Cricetulus griseus: one gene and its partner. The protein of the gene in region 1 interacts with the protein of each later gene in a biochemical or structural test. Links are inferred from orthologs where the notes say so. Each region holds a gene or a part of one and is shown in the gene's direction. Other genes may lie near its edges. The genes, in order: Dyrk1b and Hnf1a.

What was found.
Region 2: of the proteins of Dyrk1b (region 1) and Hnf1a, one has a biochemical effect on the other in vitro, tested with the Homo sapiens proteins (2 studies listed by IntAct, with this or other methods). The link is inferred for Cricetulus griseus from reciprocal best matches to the Homo sapiens genes DYRK1B and HNF1A.

What each region holds. Positions count from the first base shown.
Region 1 is NC_048602.1:7,909,484-7,919,086, reverse strand, and holds the end of Dyrk1b (dual specificity tyrosine-phosphorylation-regulated kinase 1B), read left to right. Parts: coding exon 1-86; intron 87-862; coding exon 863-982; intron 983-1,080; coding exon 1,081-1,269; intron 1,270-1,532; coding exon 1,533-1,680; intron 1,681-2,812; coding exon 2,813-3,099; intron 3,100-3,641; coding exon 3,642-3,788; intron 3,789-3,869; coding exon 3,870-4,010; intron 4,011-4,285; coding exon 4,286-4,601; intron 4,602-4,928; coding exon 4,929-5,035; intron 5,036-5,121; coding exon 5,122-5,493; 3' UTR 5,494-5,864; downstream 5,865-9,603.
Region 2 is NC_048597.1:94,535,567-94,546,316, reverse strand, and holds part of Hnf1a (hepatocyte nuclear factor 1-alpha), read left to right. Parts: intron 1-1,489; coding exon 1,490-1,689; intron 1,690-4,246; coding exon 4,247-4,433; intron 4,434-5,220; coding exon 5,221-5,462; intron 5,463-6,733; coding exon 6,734-6,885; intron 6,886-6,990; coding exon 6,991-7,192; intron 7,193-8,018; coding exon 8,019-8,210; intron 8,211-9,681; coding exon 9,682-9,800; intron 9,801-9,860; coding exon 9,861-10,026; intron 10,027-10,750. UniProt on the Homo sapiens protein: Transcriptional activator that regulates the tissue specific expression of multiple genes, especially in pancreatic islet cells and in liver. Binds to the inverted palindrome 5'-GTTAATNATTAAC-3'.

The sequences.
Region 1 (9,603 bases):
CCTTGCGGCCCTCTGAGCCCACCATGGCCGTCCCACCAGGCCATGGTCCCTTCTCTGGCTTTCCGGAGCCCCAGGAACACACACAGGTAGGCATTCAGCTGGCTTCTCACCTGCCTGGGGATAGGAAGAGACTGAGGAAAAAAAAGGGTCTCCAGGCGGCAGCAGCATGATTGTTGGAAGATCTCTGAGGATGTTGGCGGCCTGGTGACAACTGGAAGAATTTCAGGTGGCGTTTGGAAAGTCCACACTTATTACTCCTGCCATGAGGACTGAGTTATTGAGCTTCTCCATGGCCCTCCATCTCTGGTTTCAAGGGTTAAGAAAATTAAGTGTAATGTTTGTTGGGCTCAGAACTGTCTCTGGCACACAACAGACCAGAACACAGGTCTTGGTGTCCACAAGAGACAGCGGTTTGGAGTGAAAAGCCTGGAGAGTGAGCTGAGGGGAGTGGGAAACCCAAAAAGTCTGATCCCCATCCCAGCGCTTTAAGAACTGGGCACAGACATGGAAATACAGGGAATTCAGTGGCCTGGTTCCCAGAAACAGTGGTCTTGGGTACAGAGAATCCAGGTTTCCATTTCAGTGCATCCACTGAGCTTTAGAAGGTAATACAGACAGAAAGCAGATGAGCTGACCAGGGGCTGGGTAGACGGTCATTTACTTCATCATGCAACGAGCAGCTGTCTGGGGAACCTCAATGTTTGACAGGCCCCATAGAATGGGATCTGACCCTGGGGAAGCTCTGCTCTTGTGCAGAGCTAGGTAAATGTGGGTATGGCCAAACAGCCATCGGCTTTACCCTTCCTTCTCTCCCTGGAGGCTGGAGGTGAAGGTGCTCTGTGTCTGCCCCTGTCCCCCACAGGTATTGCCTGATGTGCGGCTACTTCCTCGGAGACTGCCCCTGGCCTTCCGGGACGCAACCTCAGCCCCGCTGCGCAAGCTCTCAGTGGACCTCATCAAGACCTACAAGCACATCAATGAGGTGGGTGCAGCGGGGGATTCCCCCGGCTGGGTGCTGAAGAGAGTCCTGGCTGCTTGCCAAGGTCACTCAAGGGTCCGTTTTCCTGGCCGCCTGAGCAGGTATACTATGCGAAGAAGAAGCGGCGGGCCCAACAGGCGCCACCCCAGGACTCGAGCACCAAAAAGGAGAAGAAGGTCCTGAACCACGGTTATGACGACGACAACCACGACTACATTGTGCGCAGTGGCGAGCGCTGGCTGGAGCGCTATGAGATTGACTCTCTTATTGGCAAAGGCTCCTTTGGCCAGGTGTGGGACTCCCCCACTCATCCAGTGTCTGGGTGCAGACAGCCACTAACCCTACCCACATTCCCTCCACCCCCAGAGTTCTGTCCTGGGCCAGTCTCTCAAGCCATTCAGTTTCCCTCTGTCTCAGTTTCTGTGGAAGTGTAAATAAGAAGACTCCACACTAGGGAACTCACAATTTTGTATCCAGTAGGAGGGCTGTGAGTGCTGGGCTGAGTGTCAGGTGGGCCTCCCACCTCCCCGGGTAACTCTCCATGTCTCGACAGGTGGTGAAAGCCTATGATCACCAGACCCAGGAGCTGGTGGCCATCAAGATCATCAAAAACAAAAAGGCCTTCCTGAACCAGGCACAGATTGAGCTGCGGTTGCTGGAGCTGATGAACCAGCATGACACAGAGATGAAGTACTACATAGGTGAGGCCTGCCCCTGGGTGAGCGCAGGGCGCCTGTGTGGAGATAGCGCCAATAAGGGTGGCTCTTCAGGCTCCTCCGCCTCAGGGGGTCTCCTGCTGTGGTCATGACTCTTCTTCTGTGCTTATTTAACAGTGGTCAGTGTTTATCCAGTGCTCGCTAAGGGCCAGACTGCTGCAAACATTTCCTGTGAATTACCTCACGCCAGCCCAGTGAGGGAGAGGGCAGTTCTGTGCACGTTAGAGATAGGAAAGTGAGGCACTCAGTGCTGTCACGTACATGAGGGGACAGTTTATACAGAACAGAATTAGAGATGTGTCCTCTGGAAAGGGACTGACAAATGGCTTAAAAGGACAGCCAGTGTCGCTTGCCACAAAGACAGATACAGCTAAAAGGAAAGCAGATTCGTTTGTTCATTTGGGTTTTTGTTGGTGGTGCCACTTCTTGGGGTTTTGTTTTGCCATACTGGGGATCAAGCCCAGTGCTTCATGTATAGTAGGCAAGTGCTTCTCCCCAGAACTGCGCCTCTGGACCTCTTTTTACTTAGGTATTTTGAGACAGAGTTACCTGACAAGCCTTGGGTTCATGCTCTTCCTCATCCCCATCTGAAGACCTTGGTCTTCATGCCCGCACACCAGGCCTGGCTCGGTGTTATGAATGAAATGAGGAAGCCTGGGATTGCTTTGAAGCTCTATTAGGAGATAACTGCATTTTATTTCCCTATGCTGGGCTGAGGCTTGAACCCAGAGCCTTGTGTTTGCTAGGCAAACAGGCTCCCACCCTTTGGCCATCCCTTAGCCTATGCCAGCGTAACCCTAAGGTTACTCTACCCTTTGTTTTGTTTTTTTTTTTTTGGCTTCACTGTGTACCAAGCTGGCCCTGAACTCGTCATCTTCCCATTTAGCTTCCCAAGCGCTGGCATTACACAGTCATGCTTACTATTCCCCGCTGGCAGAAACCTTCCTTTTGGTGACAAGTGGAAGGTCTGAGAGCCTCAAGAGATTTAGCATGCTTTGCGAGTCCGATGCACAGACACCTGAGGGCTCGCTGCAGTTTAGCAGAGGCGGTTACCGTGTGGCCCTGGGCCGCCTGTCCTCTCGCCTGTTTCTCATCTGTGGCCTGCTGTCCCCCACAGTGCACCTGAAGCGGCACTTCATGTTTCGAAATCATCTGTGCCTGGTGTTTGAGCTGCTGTCCTACAACCTGTACGACCTCCTGCGCAACACACACTTCCGCGGTGTCTCTCTGAACCTGACCCGGAAGCTGGCGCAGCAGCTCTGCACAGCGCTGCTCTTTCTGGCCACGCCCGAGCTCAGCATCATCCACTGCGACCTCAAGCCCGAGAACATCCTGCTCTGCAATCCTAAGCGCAGTGCCATCAAGATCGTGGACTTTGGCAGCTCCTGTCAGCTTGGCCAGCGGGTGCGGCTCCGACTCTGGGCAGGGCCCGTGTTTTGGGTGGAATGGGATAGGACAGCTTGGTTTTGACCCTGGAAGCTGATGAGAAGCTGAGAGATGACATTGGGCATAGGGAGGCCGGTCTGAAGGGAGGGGAGCAGAGATGAAGAGGGCAGAGGAGACTCAAGCAAGGAAGAGAAAGGGTGACCCCCAGAGCAGAGCCTGAACTCTGCTTTGCGGACTTGTGCTCTTCAGGTCACAGGTAGAGACCTTGAATTCGTGCAGCCTTGTGTGAGCAGGCAGAGGGGTCACTCACTACTAGTAGTAGTTCAGTATGGGATGGCCAGCCTCTCCTAAACAGCAGGGACCAGAGCTGGGAGCAGAGGCAGGGTTAAAGCAGGCCAATGAAGACTGGAAGCTGATGAGCAGGACAGCGACTGGTTTGTGCAGCATTGCTGAGAATCTAGAGGCTCCATCCTGTGTTCGAGCAGGGGCTTGTCTTCAGTTGAGTGTCCCGGGGGAACCAGCAGGGGAGCCAGTGCCCTGACTCCTGTCCCCTTCCCCAGATCTACCAGTACATCCAGAGCCGCTTCTACCGTTCCCCCGAGGTGCTCCTGGGCACACCCTATGACCTGGCCATCGACATGTGGTCCCTGGGCTGCATCCTTGTGGAGATGCACACCGGAGAGCCCCTCTTCAGCGGCTCCAATGAGGTGTGCCCCTGGAAGGGGTGTGCTGGAGGTGGAGGGGTGGAGCCTGGCCGCCCGGCGCCCCTGACCGCCACCTGCCCGCAGGTGGACCAGATGAGCCGCATTGTCGAGGTGTTGGGCATCCCGCCCGCGCCCATGCTGGAACAGGCACCCAAGGCTCGCAAGTACTTTGAGCGGCTGCCTGGGGGCGGCTGGACCCTACGAAGGACAAAGGAACTCAGGAAGGTGCGGCCCCTGCCCTGTGCCACTTCTCCCTCCCTGGGTGGCCCCTCACTCACACTTGGGGCTCCCCTCTCCCTGCGTCTTTCCCTGTCTTTCTCCCCCACCCCTTGTCTGTCCTTTGCTTCCTCCCCTGCCTATCCCGTCACCGTCCCACCCCACAGCTCTTGTTAGCTTCTCTCTTGCTCTCTTGTGCCTCTGTTTCCCCGTGTGTGTCTCCCTGCCCCTCCTGCCCACTGACGGCCACTCTCTTGCCCCCCCTCCCACCCCCTCCCTGCCAGGATTACCAGGGCCCCGGGACACGGCGGCTGCAGGAGGTGCTGGGCGTGCAGACGGGCGGGCCCGGGGGCCGGCGGGCGGGGGAGCCGGGCCACAGCCCCGCCGACTACCTCCGCTTCCAGGACCTGGTGCTGCGCATGCTGGAGTATGAGCCCGCCGCCCGCATCAGCCCTCTGGGCGCTCTGCAGCACGGCTTCTTCCGCCGCACGGCCGACGAGGCCACCAACACGGGCCCGGCAGGCAGCAGTGCCTCCACCTCGCCCGCACCCCTCGACACCTGCCCCTCCTCTAGCACCGCCAGCTCCATCTCCAGCTCTGGTGGGTGCCCACTGTCACGTGTGCCGCAGGGCCCAGCCTGGGATACCTCCCGCTGGGCCTCTGTCCTAGAGCCTTAGAGCTAAGCTACCAGATTCTGAGCTGCAGGGTGAGGTGGGGTGGGACAGTCCCACGTGATCCAGGCTTGAGAGTCAGCCCCTAAAGCTGCCTCTAGCCTCCCACACAACTCTGACCCAAGATCTCAAAATCAGGCTGTTAGAGCCTTCAAACCAGCTCTGGCCTCAGAGTCCCAGCATGGCGCCTAGATGTTGAGCAGACTGCCTGCATCTTACCGCCACTGCCCTCTTTTCTCCTTCCCGGTGCTTCCAGGAGGCTCCAGTGGCTCCTCCAGTGACAACAGGGCCTACCGCTACAGCAACCGATATTGTGGGGGACCTGGGCCCCCCATCACCGACTGTGAGATGAACAGCCCCCAGGTACTAGAGCTTGAAACCTTGGAGGTGGGTGGCAGGCGCTTAACACTTCAGGACCTTAACATCCTTCGGTTTTTTGTTTTTTTAAGGTTATACCCTCCCAGCCTCTGCGCCCCTGGGCAGGGGGTGATGTGCCCCACAAGACACATCAAGCCCCTACCTCTGCCTCGACATTGCCAGGGACTGGGGCCCAGTTACTCCCTCAACCCCGATGCCTTGGACGTCCCGCATCGCCAACGTCACCACCACCCCCGGAGCTGATGGATGTGAGCCTGGTGGGCAGCCCTCCAGACTGCTCCCCACCTCATCCAGCACCTGCCCCCCAGCACCCGGCTGCCTCATCACTCCGGACTCGGATGACGGGAGGTCGACCACCTCTCCCACCCCCGGATGACCCTGCCACTCTAGGGCCTCGCCTGAGCCTCCACGGTGTACCCCAGAGCACAGCAGCCAGCTCATGACCCTGCCCCCTCCCTGGGGCCCCTCCTGAAGCCATACCCCCTCCCCCCATCTGGGGGCCCTAGGCTCCCATCCTCATCTCTCCCCTTGACTGGACTTGCTGCTACCCAGCTGGGGTGGGTGAGGCCTGCACTGATTGGGGCCCAGGGCAGGGGGTCAAGGGAGAGGGGTTTTGGCCACGCCCTCCCCACTAAGACTGGACCCTTGGCCCCCTCTCCTCCCTTGTTTTCTATTTATTGTACCAAAGACAGTGGTGGTCCGGTAGAGGGGGAGATTCCCCCTCACCCCAGGACCCTAGGAGGGGGTGGGGGCAGGTAGGGGGAGATGGCCTTGCTCCTCCTTGCTGTACCCCCCAGTAAAGAGCTTTCTCACATGCCTGCCTGAGCGTTTGCAGGGCCTTGGCTCCCTCTCCTGACCCTCAGAGGCATGGTGGGGAAGGGTGCTTTGTGGTGTGGGTATTGGCCCTCCTGGGGACATCATCCTTCTTGGTGCAGGCATGGGGCAGCAGGAGGTTGGCGGGCTGTAGAACCATAGACACATCCTGGGTACAAGAATCCTAGCCCACATCTGCCTTTTCCGGGGTAAAAAGGTCCCTTTCTGGCCTGTTGCTGGAAATTGTAATGTTCTGCCCTCATCTGCCAGGGCTCCCATAGAGTCCACCCAGGAATGGCTTTTTTGTGTCGGGCAGGCACCCAGTAGGCTCTGGGTATACTCTACAGGCCTTCCTTGGTTACTATCCAGAGAGGCTATGGGGACAGATTTTACCCCACCTGTATCCAGTCCCATTCTGGAGTCATTGCAGAATATTGAGATTCTCGGGCAAAAAGACGCTCCCTGACTTCCAGGTAAGTGATTTTTGTTTCATGGCAATTTGGAACCAGCTGTCTTCCCACCCAGTCTTGCAAGAACTACCTGATTCAAACTGTTAAGAGCGCTTACAACGGGCAGGCGCGGTGACTCCTGGGAGATGGAGTTCTACAAGACCGGCTCTTTGCTCACTTTTCTTGGGGAACTACAAAGCCCAGAAGTCTCTGCGCACATGGTTGGGGACTGGTGTTCGATGAGCTGTCGGGCATTAGGGCCCGGATGTGGGCGGGTCAGTAGGAAGGGCGGCGATTGGATGACACGCCGGGGAGGAGTAGGGGCGTGGTCAGCCCGCTTTGCAGGGCCTGGGCGGGGCGGGGCGGGGCCGCGGTGAGCTAAGTCCTGGTGATCGATCATTTTGAGAATGCCGGTTAGGGTTTATCGGGTATCTTTGGTTATCTAGAGAGCTGGACTTGTTGGAAGTCCTCTCATTGTGAGGCACAATGAGAGGAAGATGGATAGTCTGGTCTTTCTGAAAATATGGAAGCAGGTTGCAGAAAAAGACTCGGGTCTGGCGTCTTGTGGCAGGCCCCCTAGGATGTGACAGGGCAGGGACGGGGCTGAGAAGGCCAGGAAAGGACAGGTGAGCTTTCCAGACGACTGGGTGGACAGGCTGAGTGGAGGGATGAGGTAGAGAGGGGCGGGGAAGGAAGGTCCCCAACACATAGAGAGCGCCCCCGTGCCCCCGTGCCCCCGTGCCCCCGTTGGTAGTCTCGGTTTGGTTTGGTTTGGTTTTTTATGTGTTTTTGTAGTGCTGGGGATGGAACCCAGGAAATCCCAGATGTTAGGCAAAGTGTTCTACAACCCAGCCTCCCAGGAAGAAGACTTTGAATGAACAGTTCTAGAAGCCAGGGACTACAGTGACCTCTCCAGGTTTGGGGATAGTGAAGGCAGATGGAAGTTAAATTACTTGCCTAGGATCACACGACTAGGAAGTAGGCTCAGGTTGGGGTGTGTGTGTGTGTGTGTGTGTGTGTGGTGTGTGTGTGTGTGTGTGTGTGTGTGTGTGTGTGTGTGTGTGTGTGTGTGTGTGTGTGCCAGTCATTGATTTAACAAAGTGTATTTGAGCCTGGAGACATCAGCAGGTCCAGATCCTGTAGGCCCTGTGAGGAATATGGAATGAGCCTGGGATGTTGGGATGTCATTTGTATCTGCGGTTGAGAATCATGCTCCAGGCTGACTGACTGACGACCTGACCCCTCCTTGGGTATCTCCAAGGTGCTCTCATAGTTCAAACAGCTGAATACGTGGCATCCTCCTTGGTCTTCCTGCCATCACCATCTCCCCCCCCCCCCCCATGTAACCAAAGAAACTCTGAGCACCTGATTGTCCCTCCCTGCTGAGACTCCTCCTGGACTCCATCTCACTCAGGGTAAAAGCCCAAGTCCTTCCTGTGACCTGCGGGGCCTTCACCATCTGCCTCTCCTCCAGCACACTAGCCTCAGGGCCTTGGTGCTTGGTGTTCTCTTTGCCTGGACCATTGACCACTCTTCTGAATTATACTGCTAATGTCCCTGTCCATTTTCCCTTCAACATCTTCCTTATGTCAGTCATATCGCTGGCACATGCTGGAATTTATCTTGTCACCTGCCTCCCGTTCTGGGAGCCCTTGGACTTCTTGGAAGCAAGCATTTGGGTCACTTTATGCTTCTCTCCCACACAGAAGGATATGTGGCATGTAGCAGGGCTCACTATCAGATGAGCGCTTGCAGAGCGTAGATCTGGATTCCAGCCTCCTGGGATTCTACTCGCCCCCTTCCGTACAACTCTGAGAGCTCATTTCCGAGAGCTCAAGACAGTCAACAGGTATTTTGCCTCTGCAGTACACAAAGTGGAGACACAGCAGAGAAGAAGGGCTAGCCCTATAGCATCCCTGCTGTAAAGAACTCAGTCTCAAGGTGGGGGTTCAGTCAGGTAGATAGCACAGCAATGAGCAACAGAAGTGACCAGGATCAAGAGCATTGAAGGAACACTTGATAGGCACTTCTAATCTGGCTCCAAGGAAGCGATTCCAGACCATGGGGTTAGCATCAGCTCTATTCAGAGAGGAGTGTGGACGTGGTGATTTTCACCTCGAGGCTGAGCTGGAACAGGGAGCATACCGAGCGTCCCCACTGCAGAGAGTAGTGGGAGAATTAAACACTGGGACAGAGAGGAAGGTTAGCTGTGTTGGGATTTTGGTTTGGTTTGGTTTAGATTTATTTATTTTATGTGTGTGAGTATTTTGCCTGTATGTATGTCTGCACCATGAGCATGCCTGGTGCCCACAGAGGTCAGAAGAGGGCATTCAGTCGCCTAAAACTGGAGTTAGGGATAGTTGTGGACCATTTTGTGGGTGCTAGGAACTGAACTCAGGTCCTGAGGAAGAACCACTGAGCCATCTCCCCAGGCCTAGATAGATATTTTTAAAGGTTCCACTGATGGGTGTTATAATGGCTACCTTTAAAGACAGTCCCCATTCTGCTGTTTCTGCTCAAGATGGGGAATCTCCTTCCTCTTAAGTAATGGCTGAGCCAGTAATTTGATCAGCACAAGAAGAGACGCTGAGCCCAGTGACCTTCACAGGTTCGACGGCCTCTCCGTTCACCCCTGGTGCTCTGACTCCGTTATAGAGAGAGGTCGAGCATCTGCCCCACCCATTTGAGCTGTGCCAGCTATGTGCATGGCATCTGGGGCTCTTCTAGCCCAGCTGACACTACCCTGAGTCTTCCTCAGGCCACTCTCCCTGAGCTGTGTCCATGTTCCAGAATCATGAAAGAAACAATTGAGATTTCATGACACCGTTGGAGGATGATTTGTTACTCAGCAAAAGCTGACTGAAGTAAGGCAGCATTTTCAAAATCACACGGTGGTGAGACTGTGTAATTATGGGATAACTAATTGAATTCTCACAGCTAAATAGTATTGTCGTACCCACCCTCCGGATGAAGAATCAAAGCACAGAGATGTCACTGAAGCGTTGCAAGGCACCGTACCTGGAGTTCATCCTGAGTTCTCAGGCGTTAATATCAGCACTGAGCTTGTCAGAATTCAGGTCTTCATAGATGTTGACGAGGTGGTGGGCTGGTGAGTAGAAGAATTCTTAAGCAGCTTCTAGGAGTGTTGTTCTAGGCCATCTCCTGGGCAGGATGGGGAGAGCAATCCGTCTTTGGTGGTGGAGTGCCATGGAGTCAGCTTGCTTCTGAGATGCTCACAGGGAATCCAGCAGGTGGCTGTAGAGCCAAGTCAGATGGAGCCTCCTGTTACTA
Region 2 (10,750 bases), on another chromosome or scaffold:
CAACCTTCCCAAAGCTGCCACCCTTTAATACAGTTCCCCATGGGGTGACCTCCAATCATAAAATCATGCTCACTGCTACTTCTTAGCTGTAATTTTGCTACTGTTATGAATAGTCACGTAACTCTCTGTGAAAGCTGTCACGTGGCCTTGCCTCTGCGAAGCTCATTCTCCAGGCTTTGGGGTGTGAGGCAGAGCTGAAGTTGAGGAGGGAACTGCTGGGAGGAAGACTGCAGGGCTGGCTTCAGAGTGCTGGGGGCTGGTCCTCTGTGTCACTGAGTTCCAAACAGGCAAACTCAACCAGTTGGGGACTGAAAATAACTTGTTTAATTGCTCTGCACTGAATGTGTATTGATTGTTTTTTGTGTTTTGCTTTTTTTCAAGACAGGGTTTCTCTGTCTATCCCTGGCCATCCTAGAACTCACTCTATAGACCAGGCTGACCTCGAACTCACTGAGACATTCCTGCCTCTGCCTCCTGAGTGCTGGGATTAAAGGCGTGTGACACCAACACCCGGCAAGATTGTTTTTTTTTTTTTTTTCTCGTCACTACTTTTTAAACACTAGGTAAAACGGTCATCTGGTGGGACCACCGTTGTAACCTGAGCTGACTAAAGTAGATGGAGGGTATGTGCAGGCTCTATGCTAGTCCTAGCCCACTCCTTTTACTTTTTGAGACAGAATTGCATTGTGCAGGCCCATTTGGCCTGCAACTCGGTATGTAGACCAGCCTGCCTTGAACTCAGAGATCTGCCTGTCTCTGCCTCCTAAGGGCCGGGATTAAAGGTGTGTGCCACCACTGCCCAGCTATAGGCCAATCTTACGGAGGCATTTTCTCAATTTGTGGTTTCCCTCTTCTCAGATAACTCTAATTTTTGTTAAGTCGTCAAAACAAACAAACAAACACCCCCCAAAACCCCAAACAACCAAACAGGTTGCCATCCATCTACTGAAGTAATCATCTATCCAGCCATCCAGCCAGCCAGCCTCATCCACCCACTCATTCACTCCTGCATCATCCATGGCATACTCTGTGTCTAGCCATCCGGGATTCTGGGAACCAGACAGTTCTCCCACCCTTAACAGTGGTTTAAAACTCACTTAAGGAGACCTGTGAGATGGCTCAGCTGGCAAAAGCACTTGTTGCAGAAACCTGTGGCTTGAGTTCCATCTGCAGGACCCATGTAAAGGTGAAAGGAGAAAACTGACCTACACACATGTGCATATGCACGCATGTATGTGCACACACCCACACTGGTGAGCAAGTCCAGAAGAGGGGAGGGACTTTGAGGAGTCATAGGTAAAGGTCTTCCCTATTTGGCTGGCACAGCTTCCGGTGGGAATCTGGTCATGTGTACATGTGTCCTAGTATGGAACCTGAGCACAGGTCCTACCCACAGAGCAGGGCCCTATTCCACTAGTCCTGGGGACCCGGCCTCACCTGAGGTGTCAGGAAGGGCCACTGAGCAGACCGTGTCCTTGCTCCCTTCCAGAGAGGACCCATGGCGCGTGGCAAAGATGGTCAAGTCCTATTTGCAGCAGCACAACATCCCGCAGCGGGAGGTGGTCGACACTACGGGTCTCAACCAGTCCCACCTGTCGCAGCACCTGAACAAGGGCACCCCCATGAAGACGCAGAAGCGGGCCGCTCTGTACACCTGGTACGTCCGCAAGCAGCGAGAGGTGGCTCAGCGTAAGTAATGACCCCAGCCTGTGTCCTCCCTGGCAGGTGGGGTGGGAATGTCGCCACCCCCATCGTACAGACAAGTGAGACTGAGAGGGAGCCAGAAGGATGTCCCCAAATTTACTGCCCACTCTGCGCAAGGCACCAAGGGAAGGGAGCCGGATTGGTCCCAGGGATCTACAGATACACCTACTGGATCTCTCGTTCCGGGAAACTGAGAGAGATCACTATGATAGAGTGAGGCGTGGGTTACATATGCTAACAACAAAACCCAGCCATAGTATTAATTGAGCACTTGCTGTGTGCTGGGCTTAGTGCAGAGGAAAATGATGAGCAGGCTGTGGAGGGGAGAGAAAGCTCCTCTGTCTCAGAGAGCCGAGGTTTTGGGATGGTCCCGTGAGATTCATGACCATTGCTGAGGTCCTAAAGTGTCCCTGTGGAGGAATAAAGAGGGTGTCGCAATCAAGAGGGAACAGCATGAGAAGCTCAGACGCTATTACTTAAGGAATGGTTCTCAGCCTTCCTAACTCAGCGACCCTTTAATGCAATTCCACATTTTGTGGTGACCCCAACCGTAAAATTACTTCATTGCTACTTCATAACTTTAACTTTGCTACTGTTATGAATCATAATGTAAATCTATGATATGAAGCCCCTGTGGGGTTGTGACCCACTGGTTGAGAACTGCTGACTTAAGAGACTGAAGAGCTTTTCTCTCCACCCCCACATGTCTCTCTCTGATACTTGTGATTAAACACAAAGCCTCACACACGTTACATGTGTGCTCTACCATGCACAGAGCTAAGCTCCCAGCCCTCTGTTTACTTTCTGAGACAGGGGCTCACTATGTAGCCCAGGTTGGTCTTGAACCTGTGATCTTGCTGACTCAGACTCCCAAGTGCTAGGATGGTAAGTGTGTTCTACTACATTCAACTTGGTATACTCTTTCTAAGGTTTCTAATAGTTGACTGTTAATGGGAGATATCGTTATTTGTTTAACTAGCCACTCACTAAGGGACTTTATTTATTTTGTTTTTTTTTTTGTTTTGTTTTATTTTTTTTTTTTTGAGACAGGGCTTCTCTCTGTAGCTTTGGAGCCTGTCCTGGCACTCACTCTATAGTCTCGAACTCACAGAGATCCACCTGCCTCTGCCTCCCGAGTGCCCAGATTAAAGGTGTGCATTTCCACCACCTGGCTGACATTATTCTTTTTTGGATTGCTTCTGATCTTTTGATCCTGTGAATAGGACTGCTCTGAACATTTTCACTCAGGCTTTTTGCTAAAGGTGTACACACAATTCTACTTAGTGGGTCTTATTAGACCCTGCCCAATCGTTGTTTTGCACTCCAACCAGCAGGGTCTCTGCATCCCAGGTGCTTCAGAATCTTTGTCCAACACTTGTTAATGTGCATCTTTCTCATTTTTAACCATGTTGTACACATGGTAGTATTATATTGTGCTTTTCTTTTTGGTCTTTTTTTTGTATTTTTTTGTTGTTGTTGTTTTCGAGACAGGGTTTCTCTGTGCAGCAATCTTGGCTGTCCTGGAACTCATGCTGTAGACTAGGCTGGCCTTGAACTCACAGAGATCCACTTGCCTCTTGAGTGCTGGGGTTTAAAGGCATGCACCACTACTGCCTGGCTGTATTGTGTTTTTAAGTTTAATTTTTTTTTTTGGTAACTCATCACACTGATCTTATCATATAGTTATTGGAATTCATCTTTAAGAAGTATATATTCACGAGTGGTGGTGGCACATGCTTTTAATCCCAGCACTGGGGAGACAGAGGCAGGTGGCTAGCTGTGAGTTGGAGACCAGCCTGATCTATATACCAAGTTCTAGGACAGACAGAATTACAAAGTGAGATGATGTATCAAGAAAAAACAAATGCTACTCTTCCTGAGGACTCAAGTTCAATTCCCAGCACCCACATTAGGTGTTTTACAGTCATCTGAAACACCCTTTTCAGCCCTCTGTCAGCACCCACATACACATGACACTCACACACAACAAATATTAAAAATAAAGTGTTTCAGGTCAAGCCACAGTGTCTGGTACCTCAGGTCTGATTGGTGGCTCCTGCCATCCTGTGGACAGAATTAAGATGGTGACCTCAGAGGCAATGTGAGTGGGTGTGAATAGGCCACAGCTGTGGAGAATGTGGTACTCCAGGCCAAGTTAATGAATTGTTGTTTTGTTCATTTGTTAAGACAGGGTCTCTCTGTGTAGACCTAGCTGACCTGGAATTCAGTATGCAAAGCAGGCTGGCCTTGAACTCACAGAGCTCTGCCTGCCTCTGCCTCTTGAGTGCTGGGATTTATAGCACCAAGTCCTCCTATAGCAGAAGGTGGGCCTTGGCTTTGGGTTAGCCTCAAGACTTCCTGCATGCTAGGCAAGCTCTCCACTAAATGACTCACAGCTCCAGTCCAGATTAGATTATTTCAGTTTTAGCTGCCAACTGCTCTGTTTTGGCAACAGAAAGACAGAGGAAGGGGACTGGTCAGGTGAGCTGACCGTGAAGGTGGACACGATCAATGCCCCACTTACCACTCTCTGTCCCGACAGAATTCACCCACGCAGGGCAGGGGGGACTGATCGAAGAGCCCACGGGTGATGAGCTGCCAACCAAAAAGGGAAGGAGGAACCGATTCAAGTGGGGCCCAGCATCCCAGCAGATCCTGTTCCAAGCCTATGAGAGGCAGAAGAACCCCAGCAAGGAAGAGCGGGAGACCTTGGTGGAGGAGTGCAATAGGTAGGGTGGTGGGCTAGCCAGGGCTAAGGCTAAGCTGGTGTCTTAGGGAAGGGAAGGTGTCTCTGTATCCCCGGTGGAGCTGGCCAGTCCTTGAGAACTTTTGTTGGTAGAGTTTCCTTCCCTCCTGGTCCCACCACGCTTCAGCACCAAATAAGCACACAGATATTAATTATAAAACTATTGGCCGGTGGCTCAGGCTTCTTACTGGCTAGCTCTGTCTTAATTATTAACCCATAACTACTAATCTATGTATTTCTACATGGTCTTATCTTACCAGATAAGGTGTATCCTATCCTCCTGGTCTCTATATGATATCCCCTTTTGTGGTCTCTCTCTGCCTACCTTTCCCAGAATTCTCCTTGTCTCCTAGTCCCGTCTATCTTCCTGCCTCTATTGGCCAAACAGCATTTCATTCATCAACCAATATATATATACAGAGAAATATATATACAGAAGGACAAAGGGCCGAGGGACCTAGCAGGACAAGAAAACTCTAGCAACAAACTCTTGCTCTCCATTGAGAGGAGTCAGTTCCTCCTATTGCTTTGAATTGGATTCTCAGCTTCCCCCACCCATCCGAGCAACACTTTAGGGGGTCACTTATCTCCCATCATCTCCTCTACAACCCTCTGGATATTTTGTTCACATTGTGACTGAGGTTGGAGAGGCAAAGTCCCTTGTCCATCAGGACTAGTATTGTAATCCAGGCCTGGGTGGACTCCACCTCTCAGCACTGTTCTCCCTCCTCCAAGCCTGGCCTGGAGGCTCATGGGTACCATCTTTGCAGGGCTGAGTGCATCCAGAGGGGGGTGTCACCATCACAGGCACAGGGGCTAGGCTCCAACCTTGTCACGGAGGTGCGTGTCTACAACTGGTTTGCCAACCGGCGCAAGGAAGAAGCCTTTCGGCACAAGCTGGCCATGGACACATACAATGGACCCCCACCAGGCCCAGGCCCAGGCCCTGCACTGACTGCTCACAGCTCCCCTGGCCTGCCCACATCTGCCCTCTCCCCCAGTAAGGTCCACGGTGAGTACTGTGGGGAGGGAAGTTGGGATAGGAAGTAAGGAGAAAAAGTGGGTGGGCAGAAGGGCTGGAGGGATTTCCCTGGTGGTGGCAACCACCCCCAAATTCTCTGTACTCCCCGCTCCACTGTGCCTAACTAACTCTGTTCATTCTGTCTGTGCTCCACGGCAGCCCCCACCCGCTACACCCACCTTACTTCGTCCACTCCATGTCCCCCCTTCTGCTTTGTTTCCTCCCACAATCTTCCTTCCATCCTCCTCCTCCTCTCTCTCTCTCTCTCTCTCTCTCTCTCTCTCTCTCTCTCTCTCCTCACTCCAGTTCGCACTGTGCACCCCATCCACTTCATTCAGCGGGATCCACACTGCTTCACGCCATTCTGCGCACTCACTAACTCCGCATCCATGCTACTCCCACCCTCTGTAGTCAACCCAACTGGCCCTCCGGTTACTTCAGTGCAACACAACCACTTGGGACCTATCCATTCCAACTGTTTCCGTTCAACTAGCTCGTGTTCAGATCATGGTCTAATCCAGCCATTCAGTCTGGCAGACTAATTCCTGGGATCCAGTTCATTATGGATAGTACACCCTTGGTGTCTGGGAATTGGAGCCAGGACTCTTGTAGGCACCTCCTATGTCTTTCCTTCTCACCCATGCACATCCTACTGTATACTGAATCATTTCTGGAGGACTTATGATACCCAATGCAGTGTAATTACAATGTAGACAGTTATATTGCACTGACTGAGGACTAGTGACAAGAAAAAAAACCTGCATGCCATCAGTGCAAATGTGGAATTTCTTTTTCAAATATCCAGCAGTTGACTGAATCTGAGGTTGCAGCACCTGTGGATAAGGGGCCGGCTGTGAAGCTCAATTCAATTTAGTCCAATTCAATTGGATTCTGATCAGATCAGCAAAAGCTCAATCTAGTTCAACTCAGTTCTGGCCCCATTTAAGGAGACTTAATTTAATTTGGCCAATTGCAGTCCATTCTGCTCAACTCAGTTCATTTCCATTTAGTTCTTATGAGCCACATGCAGCTCAGTCCCATTGTTCTTTGAGTGTCTTCTACAGAGGGGGACACACCAGGCAGTGGGGGACACAGGACCATGAATTAAAAGAGCTGGAAGCAGCTAGCACAGGAGGAAAGATGAGGTGCCAAAAAAAAAAAAAAAAAAAAAAAAAACAGTAGGCTCTGGTGTGGTGAGGTCTGTGGGACAGAAGAGGACAGGAAAGTGGGGTGCTGAGGCTAGATATTGCTCCCCACTCTAGGTGTGCGGTATGGACAGCCTGCAACCAGTGAGGCAGCCGAGGTGCCCTCTAGCAGCGGTGGTTCCTTAGTGACAGTGTCTGCAGCCTTACACCAAGTGTCCCCTACAGGCCTGGAGCCCAGCAGCAGCCTGCTGAGCACTGAGGCCAAGCTGGTGAGTGAGCCGCTCCACCCTGTGTGGAATCCCCTCCTAGCCCCATTTTCTATGGCTAGGAGACAGTGTGGGGACATTCCAACTCAACTTGACTTACCCTCACAGGTCTCAGCCACTGGGGGTCCCCTGCCTCCAGTCAGCACCCTGACAGCACTGCACAGCTTGGAGCAGACATCTCCAGGTCTCAACCAGCAGCCGCAGAACCTTATCATGGCTTCACTGCCTGGTGTCATGACCATTGGACCTGGGGAGCCTGCCTCCCTGGGCCCCACATTCACTAACACAGGCGCCTCTACCCTGGTCATTGGTAAGCAGGTGGGGGTGATGGGAACCCCTGTGTCTCCTGCAGTCTGGGATCTGGAAAGAGCCACAGGGGTTCATCCATCCATCCATCCATCCATCCATCCATCCATCCATCCATCATCCATCCATCCAACACTTGAGTGCCTGTGGCCAGGCACCCATGATCCCAGACAGTGAATCAAACAGAACTAATAAGCACAGTGTAGAAAATACACTGAAATCATAGTCTGAGAAGACCACAGGGTAAGGGTGTGTGTGTGTGATGTTTTCTAGACTTTTTTTTTTTTTAAGTTGCAAACCCTTTATATGCAGGAACTACTGCTCAATATCTAAAACATAGGAAGCTGCTAAGAAGAGGGGAGCAGAGAGTGAAGCCCCGGGAGCTTTGCCACTGCTGTGGGCTCCAGGGAAGCCAGCTTGACAACCTCTAATCTACTCCCAGCTTGCCTTTCCCACCAGGCCAGATGAGGAACTAAAGGCCACTAGTTCATGTTCATGGCCATTCCTACTGCAGGGCTGTTTCTCAGCCCCTCCCCTCCCTCTTTTTTTTTTTTTTCCGGAGACAGGGTTTCTTTGTGTAGCTTTGGAGCCTATCCTGGCACTCGCTCTGGAGACCAGGCTGGCCTCGAACTCACAGAGATCAACCTGCCTCTGCCTCCTGAGTGCTGGGATTAAAGGTGTGCGCCACCAACGCCCGGCCCCCCTCTCTCTTTTAATCCACAAGCCCTGGGAAGGAGGAATAGTGTCCCTCAGAGGGTCTGGGCTGGGTCTAGGGAGGACACAGGGTGGCAGGTATGAGGCTTGGCTGACTCCTGCCTGTCCCACACTAGGTCTGGCCTCCACTCAGGCACAGAGTGTGCCTGTCATCAACAGCATGGGCAGCAGCCTGACTACCCTGCAGCCGGTCCAGTTCTCCCAGCCACTGCACCCCTCCTACCAGCAGCCACTCATGCCCCCTGTACAGAGCCATGTGGCCCAGAGCCCCTTCATGGCCACCATGGCCCAGCTGCAGAGCCCCCACGGTGAGCATCCCTCACATTGGTCTAGGGGAGGTGGGTTAGAGGTTGCCTGTGGGTAGGCTCAAGACAGGGCAGGTAGCAGGTGCTGTGGTCTGCTTGTGTGTGGTGCAGGTATCTAGGGGCCACCAACCTGCTTCTGTATGTGCACAAGAGCTCTTGTGAACTTTTCAATGTGTGCAATGCTGGTGTCCACCAGTCACGTTCCCAGGTTTGTTTGTCTGAGTGCTGGGATGCAGGCCACAGCCTATTATCTGAAACCCTTGGGGCTATGCACTCTTCAGTTTATGACTTTGCCACTTTTAGAAAGTGGATATATCAAGTGTTACATATTACTCCCAGTACAGCATGGGCAGCGCCTATCCACAGAGCACTGTTATTCCTGAAATAAAAGATGGGACTACATGCAGTAGATTAAAGATTTCATGCAGGGTTTGTGGGGAAACAGCTCAGTCAGTAAAGTCATGAAGACACATTCTTCAGAAGCCACGGGGCATGGCAGTGTGTGCTTCTTGTAACTCCAGAGCTGACAAAGTAGATACTGACTGATGATCCCTGGGGCCCATGCCAGCCAGTCTAGCCTCTTGGTGAGCTCCAGGCCAGTGAGAGAGCTGTCTCAAAAAACAGGGTGGCACACACACACACACACACACACACACACACACACACACACACACACACACACACAGAGCCTCACATAAGGCTGCCCACCAAATGGGCCATGGGGCCAAACTTATGCAATGCTTTGGCTTCAGGCCTTTTGGACTTCAGCATAGAGACAGGAGCTATGGACTTGGGGACTTGTGTGAGGCTGAAACTGAATCTCTGTGTGGGTGCCCTGCTTTTAGCTGAGTTCCTAGAAGAGCATGCCATTACTATGTGCTAGGCGAGCGAGCATTCAAGTCTCCTGGAAAGTCTACAGGTGAAACTTTGTTTCATATTGGAGTTGTCCTGGAGATAGAGGTATTGCTAGTCTCTGCCCTGCTCACCTAGATGGAGGCCACCAGTCTTTCATTCAGAGGCCTGCTTTTGGTACAATGGCACCTGCACATCCTGCTACAGCACCTGTGCATGCTACTGTGGTCCCTTTGCTTAGTATAACATACTGAGCACAGCACTAGGCAGCACCTGCACTTGTTCCACCTACGTTTACTGCAGCAGAATTCATGTCTAATACATCACCTGTATTTGGTGCAGGCCCACTGCGCCTCTGCTCCTCATTTGCTTATACATATCTGGGTTGTATTCCATCTAGGGCAGTGGGGGAACAAACACACAATGAGCTGGAGTTGATGCTGGGCCTTCGCCTGCAGCTCCCAATCTGGCTTAGCTGAGCAGGCCTCTATAATGGGAAGATAGGGGGTCTGTCTCTCCTATCTGGATCCCCAAGCACCACCCCATCACGGTAACATCAGGCCCCATGCCCACTTCCCACAGATGCTCAGTCTTGAGCCATATCTGTGTCCTCTCCTCCCAGCCCTCTACAGCCACAAGCCTGAGGTGGCCCAGTACACACACACAAGCCTGCTTCCGCAGACCATGCTGATCACAGACACCAACCTCAGTGCCCTTGCCAGCCTCACGCCCACCAAGCAGGTAAGGCCCTGTGTCCTGAATCCCTGCCCGGAGCCCCATACCTCTATGCCATGGGCTCAGGGCATTACCCTGGTTCTCCAGGTCTTCACCTCAGACACAGAGGGCTCCAGTGAGCCTGGGCTTCATGAACCATCGTCTCCAGCCACCACCATCCACATCCCCAGCCAGGACCCATCGAGCATCCAGCACCTGCAGCCGGCCCACCGGCTCAGCACCAGTCCCACCGGTGAGCTATCTGCTGTCTCCCAGTAGGATAAGGTGGTGTGTTCAATGATGGAGTGAGGGTGGATGGGGGGGGGAGTGGGGCTTCCCAAATGGAGGTCAGAGGTTGGTTCTCTCTCCACCATGTGGGTCCCAAGGATTGAACTGAGGTCATCAGCTATTTTACCCTTTCACCTACCCTGAAGCATTCTTACCCACAATGCCATCTCCCCAGGGTTCTATGTAGTCTTTGAACGAGCAGCCAGCATTATAAATTCAGCTTTTGCTGGGCGGTGGTGGTGCACACCTTTAATCCCAGCGCTCAGGAGGCAGAGGCAGGGGGTTCTCTTTGAGACCAGCCTGGTCTACAAAGTGAGTTCCAGGACAGCCAGGGCTGTTACAGAAAGAAAGCCTGTCTTGAAAAACCAAAAACAACAAACAAAACAAAATAAAACAAAAAAACAATGAAAACCAAAGAACTCAACTTTCACCTAGGAGTCTGGCTCTCTGGCTCCTCTGGGAAGCTGGGAGGACTCATGTTATTACATTACAGCAGACATGCATGCACCCTCAGCCCCTGTCCTCAGCTTACAGCCTACAGTGTCAAGGAGGTTGCTGGGCTGAGGTCTGGGGTGTCCTCCATCCCCAATTTTTTGACTTCAGGAAAGCTGCTATCCCCCAGCTGGCCCTTGGGGCTGTAACGGCAGTTGCTGGAGACACTGTCTCACTGTACAGATGGACAAATGCAC